Linked DNA regions of Arabidopsis thaliana. The protein of the gene in region 4 interacts with the protein of the main gene of each other region in a pairwise test. Each region holds a gene or a part of one and is shown on either strand. Other genes may lie near its edges. The genes, in order: AtHB23, HIPP21, HB22 and ZFHD1.

Region 1 (6,550 bases), about 17 Mb from region 4:
AAATCATAGAGGCATTATAATTTGAATTGGATGTAAAGAAGCAGCGAGTAGTGACCGCAGCATCATCAAATCATCATATCATCTTTGTCTTCGTAAATAAAAGAAAATGAGAATACATATACGAGTGAAATTTCATCGACCTCCTGCGACTGGTCCCATTCATTAGTCATTGGTTGCCAGCGAATGCTAAAATTACAAAAAAAAAAACTAGTTAATTTAATATACAATAAAAATAAAACTAAATAAATAAATTTGATTTTAATCAGCAATTTAAAATAAAATGAAAAATTAAGTTTATTTTAATTAAATTAATTTGAGTTAAATTAAATTAAACTATAATAAATTAAATCTAATAGTATAAAATTAAAATTTATTTTAAGTTAATGAATTATCTAATTAAATTTTTTTAAAATAAATGCTTAGTTTCTTAAGAATGTATAGTACATAACAAATGGAATATAAAATTCCATCGAAGAAGTAATTGATACTTTCCGCATTACATTCCTGTGGTCAATGTATGTTCGGCGTGTCCATTGGAAGTGAATACTTCATTAGGGAACTAAACCTCTATGCACATGGCCACATAACAAGTTCTTCTTTACAGGTAATTATTTATTTGGTTAGAGTCATTGAATTATTATGTATTACATTTTAAAACTAATTGTTCTTAGAGAAGTGGAATTGCGTGTTGGCATATGAAGAACCGTCACCCTAAATGTCAAAGATTTAAAATTTGCGTATAAGAAAATATCCTTAGAATATTACAGTAACCAATAAAACATTAGATTAAGGAAATGCACATGATCCCATGAAGATTCTTGAATTAATTAGTCCAAAATGACACATTTTACAAGCTTAACCTCGGTGTTTGGTTGTCAACGTTAGAATACGAAGATAATCCTCTTGCCCTCTTGGCTTTCAGATTCTGTCGCTTTCTTGTTCCCCAGTCAATTTTTATTCCACCCGGCGCTAGACTAATCATCAATGGAAACTTTATCACCTTTTCATTTTCCGAAAAGTTTTTTCTAATGCTATGCAATTCCATTTTAACTCGTTTAGTCATTGTTAATACTCGTATAGGTTTTAATTTACCAGTCAAATGAGGTCTTTTTACACATATTCGGAAAAAAAAAAAAAAAACAAAACCCATAGATTCCATGGGTGTGTGATTGCTAACATTTGTATCGGTGCGATGCAAAATACACCACTTACTAATTAAAACGCGGCTCCAATACAAGTTAAACGGTAGAGATATAATGTATAAAGAGCACCGTTACTGACACTGCTCGACGACTCCAAACTTAGTGCCTTGGTGGTTCACAACTTTTGTAAGTCATGGTGTGTGTTATTAATTATTATTATTTTTTAATTAAAGGTCCGAATGGCGACTGCGTTTTGCGGTACGGAAGAAGTGCGGTGCGGTTCAAATAGTAACAAAAATATATAAATACATATGTATATGTAGAGATTTTGACACTGTTGCGGTGCGGTTTTGGGTACGGTGTATGTCACCATTCATAGCCTAAGAGATGGCTTATATGAATAACAAATTTGGAGTCGTCGGGCAATGTCAGTGTCGATGAAAGGGTAAAAAGTGTTGGGTCCATTTTCAGAAAGAGAATGACCACTTTCCAACCCTATTTGTTTGCATCCTCTCCTCGGAATCTGTAAATTGATGCTCTTTCTTTCACACACTTCACATTTTACTTCAACCGTGCCATTTAACTATATGATTTCTACAGTTTATTGTACCGCTAATCGTAATTAATGATCTATTTTTAAGATCATGTCTTCTATTTTTGTTCATCTTATAGACTTAATTATGACATAAGCATAATTTGTTTCATGGAAAAGTCTTTTTGGGTGGGTTTTTAAAATTTTTATTTCTTAGAGTTTTCTGGATATTAGTTGTACGATATAAAAGCACATGGTTCAGACTTTTTTTAATGTCTAATCATATGGCCCATATGATTGATTAATTATCATATAATATGATGAATATTTCCCCCATTAATTCTCTTACATCACATTACCCAAAAAAACTACTAGCTTAGTTGGTGCATATAGACTAAATATAGATTCTTGAAACATGAATTGGTTCATCTGACCACTTAAAGAAAACGAAAATTTTAATACAAACAAGAACAGATCGACCACATTCAATTGTATTGTTGCTGGTCAAGCCATGGCCAGAACCCAGACTGGTCATCAATTCCACAGAACATGTTACTGATACTGTTCTCTTCTTTCACCATTCTCTGTTCTGACGATGAATTCTGAAAAAACTGCATCGTTGTAGTTGTCGGTGGATGGCCTAGGGCGAATTGGCTATCGATCTCCGGTGGCCTGATGTCACCAGAAATGTTCTCACTTCTGTCACTACATGATCCTTCTGTTTCTTTGTTCAGATTGATTGATTCTATTGGTTCTCTGCTTTTCAATGCCATTACCTGCATAATTTACACAAACTATTTAAGAAAGAACGTAAAATTGCAAAATGATTCCAAATTATGTTTTGACCTAAAACAAATATATTCCAAATTATGAATTCGAAACTGAAAGAATAACATCAATAAAAAACAAAAAAGAGCATTGTTTTTATAAAATTCAACTAAAAAAGATTCATATTTTATGAAATATATGATTTAAAAAACAGAGTATTTAAGATTAAAAAAGAAACAGAGTACTTTTGTGTTATGAAGTTTCTGCTTTTACCTGAGCTTGAAGCTTTTGATTTTGAGTTTGAAGAACTTCGTTCTCATCTCTGAGACTTTCGAATTGACGCTTAAGCATGTCATAGTCTTTCTCAAGCTGCTTGGTTTTGGATCGAGCTCTTCTGTTTTGGAACCATATAGCAATTTGTCTAGGTTGCAATCCCAAGGCACGAGCTAGCTCTAATTTTCGATCTGATTCAAGTTTATTACCAAGCTCAAAGTCCTTCTCTAGTGCCTTCAATTGTTCCATGTTCAATCTCCTCTTCTTCTCTCCCATCTTAGATCCATCGTCTGAATATTCTTCATCTCCGTTCATATCTAGATTACAAAACCCTTGCACGTTGTTCATTGGAGATCTTTTACCTAGAAACCCTAAAAACAGAGAAGATCTTGAGAAGTAGAAAAAAAAAGGATTAGAAATTTTGAACAAAGGTGTTAATTGAGATGATGTACCATGGAAGTCTTGAAGAAGTTGAGGGTGATCTTCTTCTTCTTGGTGATGGTTTTGGAGACTGAAATTTTCAGGGAAGAAAGCTAAGCCATTATTATTACAAGACATGTCTCTTGTTGGTTGTTTTCTTCTTCTCCTCTCCACCACCTTGTCTTGGTTCAAAGTACAGAAAGAAAACTAAATAAAGAAGAAGAAGGATGGTGGTGAAATGAATTAGAAGACTGAGTATACACCACTTATAGGCTAAATACTAGCTAGATTAGAAAATTTGGTTTTATTTTGTTTATTATATGAGTATATAAAATAGGAGACAAGACTCAAAGCCGATGAGACAGAGAGGTAGACATGGGATGATTATAGTCTTTGGAGGGGTGGAATATGGGCTTTTGTATGTTTTGGAAAATCCCTAATTTTACTACGTTGTATCCGTTTTGGTAGATTACGGATATGTACTATGTAGTTTTTCATATCAAGTATTTTTAAAGATAATTCTTGTTTTTTACGAATAGAAAGACAGATATATCATAGTCATACTAATTATATATGTATATTTTTCTATTATAGAATTTTTGAAACGAAATTCATAATAATCTCCGGACATTGTGAAAGATAGCATATTCTTGCAATTTAAGATGTTTACAGTGGTCAACCATGATTGATATTACAGTGAATTGATTAGATTATGGTCACTCAATTTAATAGTAATTTTTTCAACCACTAGATTATCATAATTAATTTATTGTGAATATATTTAATTCAGATGTGTATAATTAAATATGTACCGTAATGAACAATTTGAGTATTTGTAACAAATACTTCAAATTTTGGGAGTTTATAGATCTAGATACTCTTACCACTTTCTCTTCAAAAAAAGAGTTGAATTTAAATATGATATGTAAAAAAAACTGATATTCTTAATGAAATATTTCAAAGTTGATATCTAATTAAAATTTCTTTTAACAGCATGCCCTACATAAGCATTTGGATGGTTGCATGCATAAGTGTTCAAGTCAATGGAATTTTATTTCTAACGAGAACTAAAACTAGTGATTTTGGTCGTCAAGAAGTATATGCAAGCAAACTCTTAGAGGCCCTACATGGTATCACTTGTCTATGTCTCAATGATATGAAATGAAAGCAAACTCTAAGGTCCTACATGGTAACTCTCACTAGTCTATGATATGATTAGACTTCTTCTTTTTAAAACCTTTTACAACATAACATGACTTTTTCTCTATGGTAGGTAAACATACTTTCGGGGGACACAAAAAGCTCTTCATCACCGCAGATTGTGTTTTGACACAAAGCCCATTTTATATGCGAGGCCGGTTTCTTCCTTCTTCTTCTTCTCTTTCTCAGGTCCCCCACTTATCAACTTTCTTAGACGTTTTGGTCGGTTTTATGATAAAATACTTTAATATAGGCCCAACTACTGTATAAATTGGTCTCCCTATCAAATCATTTTGTAATCAACAAGTCTATATTCTACAAGTTTAAATATTTTTGTTGAAACTATTTTATAAATTACCACGAGTTGTTCTTTTTTGTGTGTTTTAACCTCAATTGTATTTATCTAAAAGCATAAACTATTTATTCTATGAATTTTTTATGTTGCATGAGATATGAAAAGTGCAATTCAACGACATACAAACAAACGCATATAAATAAATATGCTCAATTTTTCATTTAGTATCAAAAGGTGTACACAAAATATATATTTTTTCATTTTTTTGCTTAATAAAAAATCACATTGCAAGCCTATTCCTTCTTAATGTATTATGCAATCTTAAATTGTAGTATACACATATGGCTAAGGCCAATTGTTGAAATGGAAAAACAACTTGTATATTTTCTTGAGTATTAGTTTTTTTGGGGGGACAAACTTGAGTATTGTTTAATGTTGGTATATATGTTTGCGAGAACAAGCCAAATCACACACTACAATAACAGAAAAAGAGGAGCTTTGCGGGACGAGTACGGGGATTGGCGAGGAAGTTTTGCCCTGAATTTAGGGCGGTGCACGGCTCCGTTAGCAGAGCTTTGGGGTGTGTACTACGGGTTGGTTATAGCTTGGGAGAAGGGTATAACGCGGCTGGAGCTTGAGGTAGATTCAAAATTGGTGGCTGGTTTTCTCACGACAGGGATAGAAGACTCTCATCTGTTGTCATTCCTAGTACGTTTGTGCTATGGCTTCTCATCAAAGGACTGGATAGTCCGAGTTTCGCATGTTTATCGGGAAGCTAACCGTTTTGCTGACGAGTTAGCAAACTATGCTTTTAGTTTACTTTTAGGCTTTCTTTCTTTTGACTCAGGTCTTCCGTTTGTCGATTCGATTATGCGTGAGGATGCTGCAGGTGTTGCTGGGGCTAGACATGTGCCCATGTAATTTTTTATTTTTGGTTCTATTGAATAAAGACGGCAGTCCCTCCCGTTGGTTTACCAAAAAAAAAATAACAGAAAATGAAAGGAAGTCTAGCCAGGAACTGGGCCAAGGCTCTTTTGTTAACATATTTGGGCCTATGGCCATTATTCAAATGATTTAAAGGTTAATTTTTTTTTTGGGTCGTCAACTTAGGGTTGATTAAGTAAAGGTTGGCGTTCCGGAGTATTTTCTTATACTATAATTTAGATGGGTTTCTTGTAGAGTTTGTGATAACTCAAAACTATTTGATTTGTCAGAATAATACAAAATATGTATATTTTATTCTATACTAAATTGAGAGATTATCATTAAAAACGTGTTACCAGCTCCTAAACATGTATCACACTTTCAAATGTCTTCAAGTCATAATTAATATTTCATCATGTTTTTAAAATTCTACTTAGTCTTTGGTGCTCATAAATAAAAACAACTAATGTGTTGCCCGAAAAAAAAAATCAATGACCGAAAAAAAACGGGAACTGATACAGTACATGATTATATTTAACTTTCAGGCGCAAGAATTTCTCTGTTCAAAGAAAAGGTATGTAACCTTATATCCCAATACATTTTACTTTTAACACGTAATCATAAATTATCTACTCCATTAATAACACCACACTAATACCGTAATTATCGAGTCAATACGTGTTATAATATACACGACGAAGATAACACATTAATGATCACATGCAAGAGGATTTAAATAAAATGGCACGACCATACCATATACTACAGATAACATTAAAAAACAGATAATCCAAACTAAACGACTTCGAAAACATCGAGGTCTTCGTCTGTTTCTATCATATTTTAAACAATTTAAATTCAGACACAACTTCTCCACGTTTTTAAATTGTATATACATACCATTTTATTTTTTTTGATAAAATTGTATTGACATACTTCCAAGTATAACTTATTTATTTGGCATACACATATATTGTTCTTAATTTCTTCAACTAA
Region 2 (6,500 bases), on a different chromosome or scaffold from region 4:
ATTGTAGATCACAAAGTCGCTTGCTTTCGTGTCCGACAACTTCTGCTCAAAATTGGGTATTTGCTGAGTTTCGTCAGACTATACAAGGTTTCATTTTTCTCCAACATGTTTTGATCTTTTAAGCCTCTATGATATCTCCGAGCCTGTTCGTATATTGGTGTCTTTAGTTTTTTTGGTTCGGATTAGTCCAAGTAGTAGACCAGGTGTTCGTGGAAATGCCGCAGAGAGTTTATTTGTTCATGACTCTTTTAAAGTTTAGTTTTTTTGGAATTGAGTACACACTGGTGGGAAGGTGATATTGTTTAAAAGTAGAGTCTCAATATATGTGACACTTCGGTTGTTTCAATGTGTTGCAGCAACTCGATTTTATGCAAGTGGAAGAGGAAAAGACTACAATCTATTTGGTAATGTGAAACCAGGTGATGATGACTTTAGAAAAACATGGGAGAAAGAAATGGAGGATGATGATACTCTATGGTCAGGAAGTGAAGACGAAAGCAATGATAAGACAAAACAAGAAAGCGGAAGAAACCGTCTTGAAAAAGAGATTAAGAAAGCTAGACAACAAGCTAAGGATAGCACCGATCAAATTGATGGAGATGATAGTGATGAATTGTACAGCGTTTGGTCAGGAAGTGATGAGGAAAAAACGCTGTGGACTGGCGATGAAGGTGATGATGACGACGATATTCCAACAGAGCCACGCCCGAACGAGGCATCTGATAAATACTTAGATAAGTTGTTTGAGTTTGAGGAGAAACCAAAGTACAGGACAATCTCAGAGTTGTTGAAATCTGAAAATGAACCTGAGGAGCTTTCACCCGGTAAAAAGGCGAGGAAGCTTGCTGTTGAGAACGCGTTGAAGAAACTGAATAAAGGGCCTGATGGGCGCTACACAAACGTGTGGGAAGTAATGAGTGATGTTGACATTCTGATTGGAGCATTTGAAAACATTATCTCGGGACCTGAGTATGAAGAGCTAAGAAAAGGTGGACCCAAGAGACTGAACATGCAGTTCTTCAAGGATATACAAACTCGAATGAGAGATCCAAACTTCAAGTTCACACCTGAAATAAAGTTGAAGCCAAAGAGTAAACTAGTGCCTAGGAAGAAATGGCAGAAGGCACAGTCCAGAATAAGGAAAGCGAAGAAGCGGTAAAAGCTCCACGCTAGTTCAACGATTTCGATAGATTTAACAGGTGAGTCCATTCATTCTTTCAAACGATTGATTAAAGTATCAAATCCATTTCTTTAAACTAATCTTATATTGATTCAGAATGATCTTTGTAGGTTTAAAGCATGCTTAGAGAACACCAAACAGCCTCCAAAAATATCCACTCAAGTCTTATTTCATCGTAAATTTGTAATGCGGTACCGTGAGTAAACAGCTTTCCTTTACCGTGATTCTGGTCTTTATGATTCCTTCTTCTAAAGAAAGAAGCTTTGAAAGAAAAGCTAAAGATGCTTTGGTCCCTCTTGGACATTTTTTTGGGGAAGAAGAATACAGCTTTTTGCATTCTTTTGATCTTCAAAAGTTTTCTTTTTTTCCTTTGGTGTTAAAAAGATTGGAACTTGTAAATGTGACACTCTCTTGCCCTTTGAAGCTTATTCTAGTCAAAATAGTAAAAATGAAGCAATTTGCCTAACAAATCACATGATTCTGATTTTTGGGTCTCTTCCTTAATATTCTTCTTTAATTATTTTATTAATGTATGATTATTGTCAAAGTGTCATTCATGTCCTATAGAAATTAGACAAACATTGGTTGCTTAATTGGTCCATTATACCTATTTTTCACTTTTAAGATTCTACATAGCTTATGGTTATTGATTTGACTTCTTCTTGGACAAAAAGTATTGTTCGAAACATAAACCATCAAATAGATTCCGGTGTTGTCTCTATAATTTTATTACAAAGTTCCTACATTACCTTTTGATTTTAACAAAAGTATACAAATTACAAAATGGAGATTATGAGTAATCTTTTGGTTGGTTGGCTCACATGATGGAACAAGCGGCGTGGACGTTGTCGTCGCTGAAGAGGGAAACGTAATTTTCCTCGGGAGCGTTTGCTGTTGGAAACGATTGAGTGGGATTACGGATGTGGCCTGCAGGTGCACGTTTATCGTACATGCCAGGAGCAAAAGGGTAATAGACCATATGTTGAGGTATGTAAGGCCAAAACTCAGCCTTTTTACCGGTGCTCTTCACTCTCTTCAACACCTTGTTTGGGTCCACGTGTCCGTTCACCGTTATCCGGCTCTGTTTCCGGTTCACCTCCACCGATTTCACCCCTGTACCGGTCGGTTTCAACATTCAAGTTTTTGTAATATTAAAATGTATATCTATATCAGTAAAATTGTTTTCTAGTTTGCTATAATATCATACTATGTTGGAGTTTAAGATTAAAAGTATTTTTCTTACCAAATTGTTTTACTACCATATTTATGATCTTTTACTATATTTTTTAGGCTACAAAATTTATTTTATTAGAAAATTATTATAAAGTAAAGAAACTAATAACTCCATGGAAAAATGTGATTGGATCATATTTACTGATAATGCTTCATGGGACTCTTTTAACATATGTAAATAAAGGTAGATTCGGGACCATTTGACCCATAATATTTTCGGACTAAAAGTTTGGTACAGTTTTTCCAATCAAAGGATTGAGCAAATGATTAGTAATTGTAATTATATATATTCTGGCCAGCTATAAAATTGCAATTTTAAGAGAGGAATAAGAATCTTTAAAAGAGAAAAGCATGGAGAATAAAGAAAATGGAAACAAAAAGGGAAAAAAAGAGAGATTGAAGAAAGTTTTGATTCAAAGTCAGAGAGAGAGATGGGGAAAGAGAACCTTTCATGCGACGAACCACGTTTCTAACTCTCCTTTCACAACCATCACAGTCCATTTTCACCTTGATATCCACTGTCTACACAAAACCCATTTAATTACCAATTATTAAAATAAACATGCATATTTTATATTCAGCAGTAATGAGTTTCTAGATTCGACTTTCGACCAATTGTGTTAGCTATGTATAACGAATTGTTTTTTGATGAAGTTTTGAAGAAACGTATTTAACAAAAACCATATTCACATTTTTGAAACGTAACATTTGAATTTGTGCATGGGACGTATAACGTATTAGCATATAGTTTTGAAGTTAACCAAAACAGTTTGAGTATAAAGATAATAGAGTATTATGTGTGATATAAAGAATGAAAAAAAGCAGAGTAGCTAGCTTGTAAAAGAGATGAGAGAAAGAACAGACCTGCAATGGCTTACGCTTGGTTTTGGCATTAGCGTATGTATATGAACAAAAGCTAGAGATATAATCAAATGCACCCATTCTCTTTTTTCGTCAGCAAAAAAACTATGTGTATATGATCAAATGTGTGTAAATTAATATGTATATTGTATGTTTGTGTATATATATGTATGTGAGTGTTTGTGAGTAGTGTATATATAGGGAGAGAGAAGAAGAAAGAGGCTTTCTTAATAGAGAAGGAGAAGAGAGTTACGTGACATGCATTCAAGATTCCATGTACATATGTAGGCTTTCTTGGATTTTTTTTGAGTAGTCTATTTTTCAGAATAAATTCAATATTTTTTCACGATAAAAATGTTGTAGAAGCAAAAGGTTGATTAGGAACAAAAGTGAGAAGGAAAAAAAAAACTATGGTAAACCAATGATGAAATAAAATCAATTATTTTTAATTCCGGTTTTTTTGTCCTTATAATTAAGGATATATCAAAACAAATTTGATGAGATCAACAAAAAACATAAAAACATTTGATGAGAGCTGAATCTTGTCCTAGTCATCAATTCGAGTTAAAACTGAAACAAGAGACCTCTATTATAGATATGTTTGATTTCAGTTTCTTTAATCATACTATAGTGTAATGAGAATTTATTGGCGTTATTAAACAAAACTCTTTTTTTTATTGACCTTTGCTTTGGTTTCGATTCAAACGAGTGTGGCTTCTGCATCACCCAATTCTTATTTTTTAGAAAGAAAGTCCCAATAATTGCCCAATATGATTCCATCAACTTAAAAATCATTAAAACTATATATAAATACTATTATGAGATGCTTTAAAAACACTAAAATGAATGGTGACCGTTATTTATTTTTTGAATAAAATCATAGAACAATGCTAAAACTTGAGATGCTTTGTGATACAGTGTGATGTTGAGTTACAAATGATCTTTGACCTTCCCTTTTTCTACTAATGGATATATTAGCATTTTTGGGATATTTTCAATATAGGTGTATAGTTTGTAGATATAGATATTTGCGTGATATTTAGATAATTAGATTGTTCTAACGATAACAACTAGGAAACTAAATGACATAACCCAAAATTAATGATCTCTTAAAAGTTTGTTTAAATGTTAGGAGGGTGTTACGAGTACGAGGAGGTGATGCGATAAGGTTTGACGGTGATGAGTTTCAACAATATTTAAATGCTGATTCGTATTCATCATGAAGTTGTGGTTATGTTTTAGATTTTGCTCTAAAAATATGTGAGGCTTAAGACTGACTTGGTATTTTTTGTAATATTTTAACTTGGATAATCATTTATTCTTCTCCTTACTAATATATAGTTGCGGCTTTTTCAATGGAATCGAACTATGTTTCAGTAAGGTTAACGCAGAATAGTAAAAGGTGTACGCAGAAAACCGAGAGAAGTACAATGGAGAGAGTACGCTGACTTGACGTTGAACCTTATGCTATTTTTTGGGTAAGATCAGTTTTTATATTCTAACTTTTCTGAAACATATCAGACAATTTTTAAATCGTCTCTCGTAGATTCTAAGCCACCTGTGTTGGACACAATTCATGTTTTTTTACTGTTGTGGTCTTTTACGGCTTTAAATCGACCGTTAATTTTGTCATAAGAAATAAACAAATAACTACCACAAGTTTTCTATGTTGTCTTAAATTTTTTGCCAAAGCTTTTTCTTGGTGTATGGATAGATGTCAAATTATTAAAAAGAAAAAAAATTGATAAAATGTTGTCCACTACAGAAGGAGACCAATTTAATGGTAAGCCATACACATCTCAATTGAGAGAGAGAGAGCCATGAGATCAACAAAATCTTCTTTCTACTCGCAAGTCTTTGATGTCAACAACATAAAAAACAAATTAAAGATATCTGAAGAAGCTCCTCTTACAAACTTAAAGTAAGTTACAATCTCAAAAATCCTTAAAACACTTGAGCAAAGAAAAAAGAAAGTGTTTGTAACTCCAAATAGATCCTAAACGCATCTGTAAGAACCTCTTAAACCAGGTGCAACCATCTTTGGCAGGGTTTTAGTAGCGGTCATGGCGTCTGCAAGGTAGTTAAATACTTACTTTAATGTAGCCAGAAGTAATAATAAGATGTGTGTATGTTCTTAATCAAAGTTACCTGCGGCGATCATGATCCCTCGGTCTTTCCCTAGACCGGGACCGTGAACTGCGCCGGCTTCTTGAGTCATAGCCACGTGACTGATTATAGTTTCTGTCATGTTCTCGGTGGTCATGGTGCCTGTCACGATCTCTACTCCTGCGGTCAACATCTCTTCCTCGGTCACGGTTATCTCCTCCGTCTCTGTCTTTACTTGATTCTCGCTCTCTACTCCTCTCCTTTGATCTGAGATTGGTTTAGGTTTTCAGCAAAAATGTTGAAGATTAAAGGAAGTAAACAAACAATGTGTTCAAATGCTTGAGAAAAATAAACCTCCTTTCTTCGACCCGTTCCTTGTGAACTTTGTTCTTCTCCTCCTGAAGAAGACAGAGAGAATATAACTATACAGTCTATATCAAGAGAGAAAAGGAAAATCACTAGAAAGATTCTACTGTATATTACCTGAAGCTCTGCCAATTTGTCGCGGATCAGCATGTAACCCAAGTGAAGCTTCCCTCCAAAATGATCAGCTAACCGACGATCACTAAAGGCAGTACAACAGATTTTTGACATTGCCAAATGCAAATAACAGATTGGTGACAAAGATATAGTTTAAAGTTCCATTATTTATCTCTAACAGGCACAATAAATCAAGAAAGAACGCACATTTATTAGCTGCAAAAGTAATCCTCGTAAAACTGGGCCCAAATAGCCTGCTGGTGAAAAGGAGGTACAATAGCCGGGGTCAAATAATGAACCACTTGCAACCCAATAATCTATTTCTAGCTTTCTTATGAAACGCCACGGAACCATAAAACATAAACAAATTTAAGTAATTAAAGTTAACCTGTCATAGACGCTCAAAAATGCTCCGCATATGTCACATAGACGCAGCTTCTGGTCTGTCTGAGACAATAAGAGAAGAGAGAATGAGGACTACCAACCAACACAGTGACAAAAAATATACAGCGAGCAGAGATGAGAAAATGGTATATACTTCACTTCAAAAGCAATTTCTGTTTACGCTGTTTGACAATTGAGAACACTGAATACATGCTTCAACCAAAGCATTTTAATTGTCCTCAAACTTTATAAGCCA
Region 3 (5,712 bases), on a different chromosome or scaffold from region 4:
AATAGCGCGGCGGAGCCATGGTTCTCAAGTAATCAATCTCTTCTCTATATCTCTCTTCTCCATGCTTCTCTGTTCATAGGTTTACATTGTTGCTAATGATCCATGTGAATATTGCTACTGTTGAAAATGCCAATTTGCTAAAATGAGCTTCTTTTGGTTCAAATCTGTTTATTTCCCGATCAGAAATGTCTGCAAATTGTGATTTTCTGGTACGAGATATGGCTTGTGTTCGGCAATAACTAGATCTTATTGTTTCCCTTCACTTTGCAACATTTTTGTTTGTAATTCTGTACATTGAATTAATTGTGTTTGGTCTCTGTTTCAAATCATTGTGACTCTTGTGAATCGTATTGTTTCTCTCATTGGGCAGATATCTAATTAGCCATTTACTAGTTCTGCTTTTAGGACATTGTAAAATGAGATGGCTTTGAATGTGTGTCCTGTGACTGTTTGTGATTGTGACCAGGGTTGGTTTTGGATTATCACTAAACCATTGATTATCTTTGTATTGTAGGACTGAGCTTTGCCGATTCAGTGGCCAGAAAATTTACCCTGGTAGAGGGATCAGATTTATCCGATCGGACTCTCAGGTACTTTATTTTGGTTAAATGTGTGCTCTACTTGTTAAGAAGAGTCTTATCTGTTGTTACTATGTATCTGTATTGATTAAATCATCTTTGGTTTTTATGGTTGTATTAGGTGTTTTTGTTTCTCAACTCCAAATGTAAGAGGTATTTCCACAACAAGTTGAAGCCATCTAAGCTTTGCTGGACTGCTATGTACCGAAAGCAGCACAAGAAGGTAATGTTTCTTTTTTTAGTTGCTTCTTGTTTTCATGATTTAGTACTATTGAATTCTGTTGTGATCTTTGTTTTCTCTCTTCTTACAGGACGCAGCACAAGAGGCTGTGAAGAGAAGGAGACGTGCAACTAAGAAGCCTTACTCAAGGTCGATTGTCGGTGCTACTTTGGAGGTTATTCAGAAGAAGCGAGCAGAGAAGCCTGAAGTTCGTGATGCCGCTAGAGAAGCTGCCCTACGGTTTGTTTCTTTCCCGAAGACAGTCACTATATACATCAATTTTTTTTTGAAACTGAAATGTGATTGATTCAAAGCTAATCTGATGATTATGCAGTGAGATCAAGGAGAGAATCAAGAAGACCAAGGACGAGAAGAAGGCAAAGAAGGTCGAGTATGCATCAAAGCAACAGAAGTCACAAGTGAAGGGAAATATCCCCAAGAGTGCTGCACCCAAGGCTGCTAAGATGGGTGGTGGTGGAGGCAGACGTTGAATGGAGCTATAGAGTAGCCCACTCTTCTCTCTTCACTTATCTTTCTTTCTTGTTTTGACATTGTTTTGTTTTGTCAGCCATTTTTTAGTTTTGCACCAGATCTAATATATTCAGTTTATGAAAACTTTTTGTTTGGTATCAATCCCCTTGTGTTTTACTCGTAGATCCAAAAACTGCTAAATAGAATTTTCAACTTGGCTTATTCTAGGACATTATTAGTGGTCTGAGCTAAATTGAGCTTTGGTTAAGCATTGATTATGGATCTAGAGTTCTTGAATCACGATGTTTCTTCATTAACTTCAACTTAGTAAAGAACCCTTTACACGAAAATCACTTAAACAATACTTAATACAAAGGAAAACAGAATCAGCCATAGAAATTGTTGCTTGTTTGGGACTAAAGCTACAAATTTGAGCCATTTTGGAGATATAACTGAAGTGGAACTTATATACTATTGCCTCAGCTGCAGGCTTTTTCCCAGGTTTGTTTCTTCTTGCATGAACTATCCTCTCTTATCATTGATTTCAGTTGTATTAGCTGTTGAAACAAAGTGAAAGTAACTCAATGGATTGTAACTCGAAAGCTTATTTATTAAGTTAGTATTGATCACTGGAGTAATTACCTCTTCTTGTAGCAATTCCTTTTCTCTAGAGACAATATCAAACTCTTGTCTTAGTGATTCATAGAGATGCTCAAGTTGTTTGTTCTTCCACCTGGCTTTCCTGTTCTGGAACCAAACCGCAATCTGTCTCGGCTGCAGCCCCAGTTCTTTGGACAGCTTCATCTTCCTGTCCGGATTCAGCTTCATCTTCCTGTCCGGATTCAGCTTTATCTCTTCTTGGAAACTTCTCTCGAGGAACTTTAGCTGCTCGCTCGTCATCTTCTTTTTTTTCTTCTCCTGTCCATTAAAACTGTTGCTTTCTTCTCCATAGCCACTCTCTACCATTGCTAGAGGAACATGAAGTATATCTTGTTGTGCACCCATCATTGTACCTAAACATCTGTTGTCTTGGTTTCCTACAAATTCAATACAAGACAGAGAGAGACTTGTAAAGCGACATACAGTTGAGTGAATGATTAAGCATTAAGCATATAAACTAGCTCTACTAAAACCTAGTACTATGGATGCATGTTACCTGAAAAATGGTCAAAGTTATAGAAAGGAGAGATGAAGCTGGAAGAAGACGCGCCATCGATGAAGGAGCTGCTCCAATATTCCATCTTCTCTTCTTCTTTTTTTTTACCTCTTTTGTCTATCTCTGCTTACAACAATCACTTTCAAGAGACTATTTTTTACCTAAACAAGGAAATGAGCAACTTTGGGTGTTTGATATGGGTGTATCTTTATCACTATATGCATATGTTAGAACATGCAGGAACATTATATATAGATAAGTAAATGTGGTTGAAAACGCTAGGGCTTCTGTTTTTAACTTCGGGTAACTAATTGGTCACTATCAAGTAAGATAAATATATGTGTAAATGAATGGTTTCATTAGTCTGACCGGTAACAAATAGTACTCCGAACGATGAGGGTAAGAATAGGCGGTGTTGAGCAAATGCATTATACGATACAAAACGAGCTAAAAAAAGTTAATGGTGATTATTTAGTTTGAAATTTTTGTTAAAAATTGATTATTATTCTCATATTCTCACATGACCTTGTATGTTTCCATAAGTAAGATATTTACATAAGTAATAACGTAGGTATTTCGTATTATACGTGACCAATTAATGTGGATTTTAGTATATATAAAAGAATAAAATAAAATGAAAGTAATGTGAGTTGAGAAAGGAACAGTAAGAGTAAGAGATAGAGGTGAAAAAGAAAAGAGAGAATGGTCCAGATTCTACATTTGTACAAATGTCTATCACTTTCTCTACCTTAATTAACCAACCAATCTGACATATATGAATTCAAACTTCTACTCTCAATCTGTAATATAGCCTCCAGTTTTCATCTCTTTGTATGTATATGTATTTGTAAAGTCCCCACAATCTTTATTTAACACTGTGGAGCTGCAGGGTGCTACTCCAACAGATAGATCAGAAGGGTCCAATTCTGATCCTGACAAAATTTGGGAGCACACAGTGCACTAGTGAAAATAGTATCATCATATCGATCTACGTGTTTTTTTGGTATGATCCGGCGATAAAGTATAGTTAGAAATTGAATGATGCAACTTATCTTGAAGAAATGGTAAATGCTTATATGGTTAGATAAAGATGAAGTTTCTAGCACTAGTTATGTTTCTCTAAATCAAATTCTACGGTTTAAACGTTAATTGTGACTGACATAAGTATATTTTGTTCCATTTCCAAAGCACGTAACAACTACATCAGCCAATTTTTGATGTGATTTCAAGATGGGGATATTTTTTCTGTATCAAGTCATTGGATTGAATAAAAATAAAAGATTTTCAAAGAAAAAAATCTTAACCGGTGATCCTAATTTTTTTAAACTGACTTTTTTTTAATAATTTATTTCTCCCTTGTGTATTAGTTTATACATCTTTACCAGAAACAAAACTGTATCTAAATCATTATTAATTTTTCATAAGCATTTGGAAATATTGTTAATTATATATATTTTTTATATAACATGTGGTATCGAAAACACGTATAAGTTGGGAAACGGAAAAAGAGCCACTAGTCCCATATGATTTTGCTTAAAATAAAACAATGTAAACCAAATAAATTTGTAATAGATTATAATCATAAAAATTGGTTTAACTTTTCGTGTTCACATATGTTAATGAAAGCGAACAAAAATCCTACAAACGCTAGAAGATAAGAGTAATTAGTTAAAGGCTCTTTTGAATCCCGATCGAAGATATATTTGATCATCAATGTTGGAAGGGATCAATAATGAGAATGTAACTACAATAAAAGTTACATATAAACAGAATAATTAACCATCAGGAGCATGATGGATAATCAAAGATGCCAAAGAGATCTACTTATTATCTGCTAGTTCTAAGCTAAATCAAGAAGCATCTCTGTTAGAAGCTGAAGGTATAAAGCCTGTTAAAATCTATTGAATTCAACACTTTGGGATCGAGATACGTAACTATTATTGTCACAATCCAATGAATAGAGAGAGTGTAGAAGTGATAAATTGAGTGAGTAAATACTAAATAGTACTACGAAGAAAGCTATATTATGATAATCTAAAAACGAGGACCATATAGTATAAAGTTACAGAGAAATAAAGCTCAAGAGAGCAGCGTGTTGTGTCATTTACTGAATGTTTTCGTATAAAGAAGAAGCTCACTAGAATTGTTTCCTTCTTTATAGGTCAAAATTCCATGTTAGTTAAACACCAAAACCAACGGTTAATGTTTTCAGTATATTACGTACTTGCTAAACAGAGAGCATGGTGAAATCTAGTATAAGAATTCTTTTTACAGACAAATTTGACAATAACATCTTTCTGACATGTACTTTGGCACTGCCAAATGCCAACAAGTGGAAGGCAGAAGTCACAGAACCTGACTTTCCATTTGCCATTATTACCTTTTTGGTAATTTAAGTCGAAACTGTCACGTGTCTCCCCGTCGTGAAAACGAAATCAACATTCAATACGAAAATAGACATTGGAATAACAACTTAAACTACGTTTTAACAATTACCCTAACATTAAAATGGTCCCTTTTAAAGAATGGTCCTTACGTTTGAACAAGACCCTTTTCTTTCAAGTTACAATTGTCAAAGCCTATCTATTTTCATTTTTTTTAAGTAATCACAATTTGTACCCACTTTACATGTTCATATTGAATCGACTGGTGATATGAAATGGTACAAGTTTTTAACTATAGTATGAGATACAAGCAAAAAATGGACTTTGAACCGGAATAATTGTGGTGTGATACTTTTTTTTGTTAACACAAGGAACATATGGAAACTTTCAATCCTTATTTGATCTGCCAGAGAGAGAATTGTTCTAAAAGATTCACAAAACTGAGAGCCAAAGATCAACAGTTTACGAAAAACAGGTCAAATAACATGATCACAAACCAAGTATTGCAATGCTCTTGATCATCTACTTCTGTGTTAACACTTTGATATCTACTTGCTAATTCTACTTAAGTTCAATGAGTTTCGGAAATATTGTACCTTCATTCTTCTGTTTCAATCCAATTCCAGTATCTGTGATCTTCGATTCCAGTTATCGCCATTCCTCTTGCCGAAATCGCCATACAAAACCGTCCTGTCGATCTATCAGCAATGGAAACAATAACTAACATTCGAAGTATAATTGGGCCGACCACTGTCAACAATGGGCCGATTTATAGATGGACAAAAATAGAATTGGCACGCCCGGTGGGACTCGAACCCACAATCGTTTGATTAGAAGTCAAACGCCTTATCCATTAGGCCACGGGCGCTTTTGTACTATCACCTACTTACATTTATATATATA
Region 4 (6,181 bases):
AAGATATCATAACTGTAATCAGTCCTCGAAGACAAATGAAGCATTTTAGAAATTTAATGCAACTTTGGATTAGGTGATTTCACTTTGGTGTCTTCATAAATATTTGTAGCCTTGTTTTTTGACTTAAAAAGTTATAGGTGTTACATTTTGTAATCCCTAAACTTTTCATTTTTAATGATATTTATAGTTATATCACAAAAAAAAAGTAGTTGTAATAGTAAAGATAATTAGCGTTTCATAACTATTTAGAAAAGTTGGAAGATATAGATCAAGTAAAGGTATGATCGGGTCACGGTCGAGCCCGGACATACATGCCTATGGGGGGGCGACCAACGAAAAATATCAGCAGTTTCATGTTATGTGTAGCTGCTGGTGAACACTTGTAGCCTTATAGGTGTATTAATGAGTTTGGGTAACATGTAGAATTGTAGATAGTCGCGTGAGAGATTTTGGTCTTCGACCGTCCAAACATGGCCAAGTCACGGTCCAAAAACAAAATTGATTGACTATTATACGAGAGCATTTGGCAGATGCTCGTGTTACGTTGAAATTGAAAATTCCTTTTTAATTTCGAGTGCGATCGTTTATTAGTCCTTTTCTTTTAGGTGTTAAGCAAATTAATTATCATTTTCGTTTCATTTTCAACGTGCAATAGAGATGCAAGGCTACACGTGTCTCAATAAATTTGGACCAGACATTGATGCTGACGTATCCCATCCTCTTTTAATGTAGGTAAAATGGAAACTAGATTTAATAAATGGTGATTGGTGCATGTTTTATCTTATAAATTGTAAAGAAGGTAAAATGATTTTGTTTACTTTATAAAAGAAACTTATTTATTTTATTTTACTTCAAACAAAAAATTGACTTATTTAACCATTTGACTCATTTAAATGTGTTTATATACATCTTAATCACTACCTTATACATCTCCCAACCCAAGAAGACCTCTCTTGATAATCATTTATCTAACATAAATACACACTAGATAGATGATAAAGATGTTCCATGTGGTGATCAACTTATCAGTGTCCTTACCAATCCAAAGTAAAGCATGATGAGTTTTCCTGAGCTGCTTCGTCTCTGGCTTGGCTCAAAATTGCCACCGTGACTATACATATCGATTTTGGATGCAAGATCCCCACTGAAGGATTCTGATCTTTGACTTGGATTATGGTATGCTTCAACGGTTATACTTATACTTGACCAAGTCTCCGGTTGGTGAAAGACTTAACGGATCCCTAAGATACTTGGTTCGATTAGTGTCCTTTAGTGTGTTATTGGGTCTAGTCTCAAAAATCAAAAACTACAATGGGCTTTAGCTATAATGGAATTTTTTACATTGCTTTCCTCTTTGCATATTCCAACAAAAGAAAACATCTAACTAATAAAAACCTTTTTTTTTGAAATATCATCTAAAAAATGTGATACACGAAGACATGTTACATACTGTTGGTATGGGGATTATCCGTTGCTACTTTTTTCATCATTATGTAACATGTCTTCGTGTATCATATTTTTGATCCACTGATATAAGAATTTGATATCTACATCATCAATTAATCGGACCACTAACATCTAAAATCGATATTAGCTAGGTATTGGAATATTGTCCAATCGGAATCTTAATTAGTAGCATACAAAAAATTCAATCATCCAACCATAAACACATATACCGATCTATAATGTAAATTATTTTATCCGCCAAATGCATGTTAAACAATTTGTGTACCATATATTGATCATTAATCATTGCATGCAGTTACTCGTATCTACATAGAGCTTTTGCATACATTGATCTATCTGGCATGGATATTCGTACCGGCCTTTTGTTAAGGCTTGGGCTTCGTTACTTCGTACATACATGGTAAAATACTTTGTCTCCGGCATTGAACTTACGACCATTTATACGTGATAAAGCATTCGCTATGATTCGTTAATACATGATGAATGAAAGAAAAAAAACGAATTTTTAATATCAGTGGTGCGGGAAGAGCCAAATCATTGCACATAGTAGATATTTTAGTAATCGTAACATCTGCATTGTACTTAATTAGGATAAATAAGCAAGATTGGTGTTGCCAAAGCTTATCCCTAAATGGAAAGAGATAAGCCAGCATTTTAATAACTTTTAATCATATCATATAAATTAACAACAAAAATGTGCCGCCCAGTGACCTAATTATATTCCGCCACGCCATAGTTTGTTGCAATTCGTAATAACCACGTCGTCGTATCTTCATTAAGCAAACTTTACTTACTCTATCTCTAAAGTTCAGGAGATTTATTTCTAATAATACAGAAGATAACATTGAATAATCAGAAAGTAAACAAAGAAACGAATCTTTTGATCTCTACGATCACAATTAGCGCTTATGCACTTACTATAATTAGAAATGGTCTATCAAAATTCGTTTCAACCTCCGATTTAAAAACTTATTTATTACCAAACCCATTTGTGATCTCTGACCACATCTCTGTCAAAGTGATGAAAATAGAAAAGATCAAACCGCATAAATATTTATATCAAGATCGATTACATGTTAGAGAAAAGACACTATTATATGATTTTAAACCGGTTAATGCTCATATTTTCCCAAATTAAAGTATCCTAATTCGGTTTAACCCGAATCTTGAATCTTTCTTCAAGAAGATGAAGACCCATCACCATCATTGCTGTGAGTGTTCAGACACAGGCCATGTTCGATCTCTCTGATCTTGCCATTGAGAAGTGAGTACTTGTTGTTATGCATCCACACTTTAAGAACTCCTCTCTCAATCCCAACTTCGTTACAAAACTCTCTCACCGACTTTTCATCACATCCGTTGATTTTCCAACCAGCTTTCTCTGCGAAGGCTCTCATCTTGATCTTCTGCTCCGGCGTGAATTTGGTTCTTGTTCGTTTCCTCATTGCTCCTCTTGAACTGTTCTCTGACCTAACCACCGTTGGATCTTGATCTGACGGTCCAGGGAAACCGGAGCTGAGAGAGAGAATCACGTGATGTGGAGGAGCTGAGGTGTAGTAAGAGCAAGGAACAGGAGAAGACACGTGACGAGACGGCGGCGACTCAGTGCCGGAGGGAGAAGAAATCGGAGGCGCGGTGAGGAAGTTGAGATTCTCGGAAGGGTCACGGCGGTGGAAGTTACGGTGGCAGCCACAAGCAGCGCAACGGAGAGAAGAAGGATCGGTGGAAGTAGCCGTGGGACTCGGCATAAACTCGCCGCAACCGTCGAGAGCATGGCCGCCGAGATTAGCCGCGTGGTTTTTCAAACACTCTTTGTAACAAACACCCATTTCTCCGGTGACAGTTAGTTCTCCGGCGATGGGAAGAGAGTTTAGAAGTTGTTGTTGTGGTTTGGAAGACAAATCCATAGCTTTTGTTTAGTTCTGTCTTTATAGTGTGTTTACTTAAATCTTTTGCTTTTGTGATTAATGAGAAGATTAGGTTTTGTAGTTTTATTTTATTTATTAAAAAAGGATAATTATGTAAGTGCATGTGACGATGATGTAATTATATCGGTAAAGAACATGGCAGTGATGAAATATAATTAGGACTTGGAAAATAATAATAAGTGCTTACTCACAAACGTCCAAAACATACAGCAAAAGAAAGAAAACACTCACTGTATATCAATGAAAATTCACAACTTCTTTTTTACTTTTTTTTTTTCTTGTTTTGGTGAAACAGAGATTTTTTTGAATATTTTAGTCACTAGTTTTGATATCTATTCATACGTTATATAGACAGACTATACACTTTGAACCTGTATAAAATATTGAATCTGAGGTCTTATCAGAAAGCAATGATTTTACGGGACATTTGTAAGATATGGGTTTTCACTTTCACCAGTGGGTAACTTGTTGTGTAAAAGAAATAAAAAAGATGAATAATTTCTGAGCGTGACATAAAATTTTAATTAATCGAATATATTCGAAGGAGAGGATGGGATTAGTTGGAAGATTTGAGTCCAAAGTGTATACGTGGCAATAGCCCATTACATGCATCGTACTAAAGGACAATTACAGCTGCCCTGCAGTTTCATATTCCACTGTACATATTACAGTTTCTTATTTTTAAGAGTTTACGTTACCACCCCATACTTCTGTTAATTTCACTGTATCACCCCTGCATTTTTATACTAAAACGTTTTAATCTTTTCAATTTTGATTCTGTTTAGGGACCATTTTCTTATCTAGAGGTCTAAAATCGTAAATTTTCCTATAACGATAATCTAACTAAACAATAAAGTCAATAAAATTTCTTACTAGTATAGGTATTACGTGTTCTAGTGAAATATTTGACTTATGCTAATGTACTAATTCGTTCCAAAAGGAAAAGTGCTAAACAACTAGAAGATTTTGTAGATTACCGAAAACACCTCTAAAAGAACTTCTTTCGCACGAATACTTAATACTTGACTCAATCGTGGAGCAAAGAAGAGTTTGTTGTGACAATTGCCAAACTTCATGTTTCGTAATTAATCATGAAATTTAAATGTCTAAATTCCTTAACCACCCTTTGGAAAGACTCTTATCTCTTACCGACCTTTTATTCTCACTTCTTGTCATTAGTGTGGCGCCGAAATTTAGTGTTCTTTCGCATTTTGCTTACGTTATTGATTAGCTTTTGGGTCACAATTATGTGGTGTATGTCTTCAAGTCTTCCTCTTCTAAGTACCCCACAATTATTTTGAATCTTCATTAGCCATTTTCCATATCGATTCTTATAGGGTTTGTTTTTACAACAAATATAGTTTCTATCAAAAAAATAAAAATTGAAGGAACATTTTGTGACTAGTTATTGTTACTTTTATGATGATCCATTCATGAAAAAAATGATGAACCTTTTCTTATAAGTTACAATGTTACTACATGTGAATGTTATTGGTAAGATCAAACTGCATGGCTAATTTTGTTATTAATTATAATTACTAAGGTCTTTACTCTTTAGAATTAAAGTAACAAAACAAATCAGACATCAACATTCATTTCGTTAAGCTTTGGATACTCGTTTAATTAACTTAAAATCTTATTGAAAGGCATATAAATTATTCATTAATGTATAGTTAAGAGTCTGATCCCTGAAATGAGACTAATTAAAGCATTGTTTGCGAGGAGAATAAATGAATAACAGTTGGTGTTACGTTTTGTCGTTTATCATAAACCTAGTCACCAATCACGCTTAATTAGAATCCAATTTACAACAATCGGGAGATATTTGACCATACAATAAAAATAATTAAATAAACGTATTTATTGTTTTACTAATAATTCGTTGACAGAGACTTTGATTTAACAATTTATTTACTCGTATCACAATTAGAATCATAAAGACGGATTAGAACAATCTCCTAACGATCTTGTCAATGACCGAAATAGCACGCGCATCCCGCAAACCGGCCACTAAGGTTGGAGAAAAAGTCATTTGTAGCCGAAATTTTAAATGTCATATGATCATGGGGTCATTTTTGCGTAACGTTTCTATCTATGTATATACCTATTGAATAAGTAGGTAAATGACACAAAGTAAGACTTAATTAGATAAATAACAAATGCTAAAATTCACTACTAGAAAAATAAACAGAAACAAAGACTAGATAAAAAACGATAACTACCGTAAGCAATTTGTCTCTAAAGAGACGTGGTCACAAATATGCATAGCTAAACCGGAGATGCAAGGATACAAAGAAGTTAGTTTTTCCAAAGCTACTCCAAAGTATGATGTTGTCACTTGACTGGTTGTGAAAAGCAAAGTTGCAACATAATAAAGAATGATTAAATGGAACCAAAATGCGGATACAAATTGCGTATTTTGTAAAAATCCGTTGGAGACGAGAGAGCATTTGTTTTTTCAATGCCAGTATTCGAGAAAGGTGTGGGAAGAGCTGATAACTCAGACAAAATAGAAGGATATCACGAGAGAGCTTGCGAGTAAAGATCTTGATTCCACAACAAAATTTATTCCCAAGTACTGTTTCAAAACACGATACTCTTTATTTAGTGATAAAGAAATGAGAGGAGGCACGAGACCAATCTTCGACCACGAAGAAAATCGTTAAATTGATTGACAAGAACATGAAATCCGTTTGAGCGTACTAAGAAGAAGAGGTGAAGATAGATCATAGAATCTCTTAATAATTTATTTTAAGAAAAATTTACATTCATATGTATCAATGTTT

What was found.
Region 1: the proteins of ZFHD1 (region 4) and AtHB23 interact in a two-hybrid assay, tested with the Arabidopsis thaliana proteins (one study listed by BioGRID).
Region 2: the proteins of ZFHD1 (region 4) and HIPP21 interact in a two-hybrid assay, tested with the Arabidopsis thaliana proteins (one study listed by BioGRID).
Region 3: the proteins of ZFHD1 (region 4) and HB22 interact in a two-hybrid assay, tested with the Arabidopsis thaliana proteins (one study listed by BioGRID).

What each region holds. Positions count from the first base shown.
Region 1 is NC_003070.9:9,352,849-9,359,398, reverse strand, and holds AtHB23 (homeobox protein 23), read right to left. Parts: upstream 3,573-6,550; 5' UTR 3,274-3,572; coding exon 3,168-3,273; intron 3,087-3,167; coding exon 2,716-3,086; intron 2,451-2,715; coding exon 2,160-2,450; 3' UTR 1,897-2,159; downstream 1-1,896. UniProt on the Arabidopsis thaliana protein: Probable transcription factor.
Region 2 is NC_003076.8:5,752,241-5,758,740, reverse strand, and holds HIPP21 (Heavy metal transport/detoxification superfamily protein), read right to left. Parts: upstream 3,520-6,500; 5' UTR 3,356-3,519; coding exon 3,278-3,355; intron 2,936-3,277; coding exon 2,860-2,935; exon of another isoform or gene 2,316-2,859; coding exon of another isoform or gene 2,294-2,315; coding exon 1,998-2,293; 3' UTR 1,738-1,997; downstream 1-1,737. Other genes in the region: AT5G17460 (glutamyl-tRNA (Gln) amidotransferase subunit C), read left to right, coding at 8-87, 357-1,159; AT5G17440 (LUC7 related protein), read right to left, coding at 5,326-5,344, 5,423-5,647, 5,735-5,778, 5,864-5,945, 6,249-6,307. UniProt on the Arabidopsis thaliana protein: Heavy-metal-binding protein. Binds cadmium. May be involved in cadmium transport and play a role in cadmium detoxification.
Region 3 is NC_003071.7:15,346,125-15,351,836, reverse strand, and holds HB22 (homeobox protein 22), read right to left. Parts: upstream 2,627-5,712; 5' UTR 2,511-2,626; coding exon 2,426-2,510; intron 2,307-2,425; coding exon 1,912-2,306; intron 1,827-1,911; coding exon 1,749-1,826; 3' UTR 1,547-1,748; downstream 1-1,546. Other genes in the region: RPL24A (ribosomal protein L24), read left to right, coding at 18-28, 515-590, 700-801, 890-1,038, 1,133-1,289. UniProt on the Arabidopsis thaliana protein: Probable transcription factor.
Region 4 is NC_003070.9:26,179,663-26,185,843, reverse strand, and holds ZFHD1 (zinc finger homeodomain 1), read right to left. Parts: upstream 3,689-6,181; 5' UTR 3,375-3,688; coding exon 2,646-3,374; 3' UTR 2,298-2,645; downstream 1-2,297. UniProt on the Arabidopsis thaliana protein: Transcription factor involved in the up-regulation of several stress-inducible genes. Acts as a transcriptional activator by interacting with MED25 and NAC proteins. Involved in increased drought tolerance.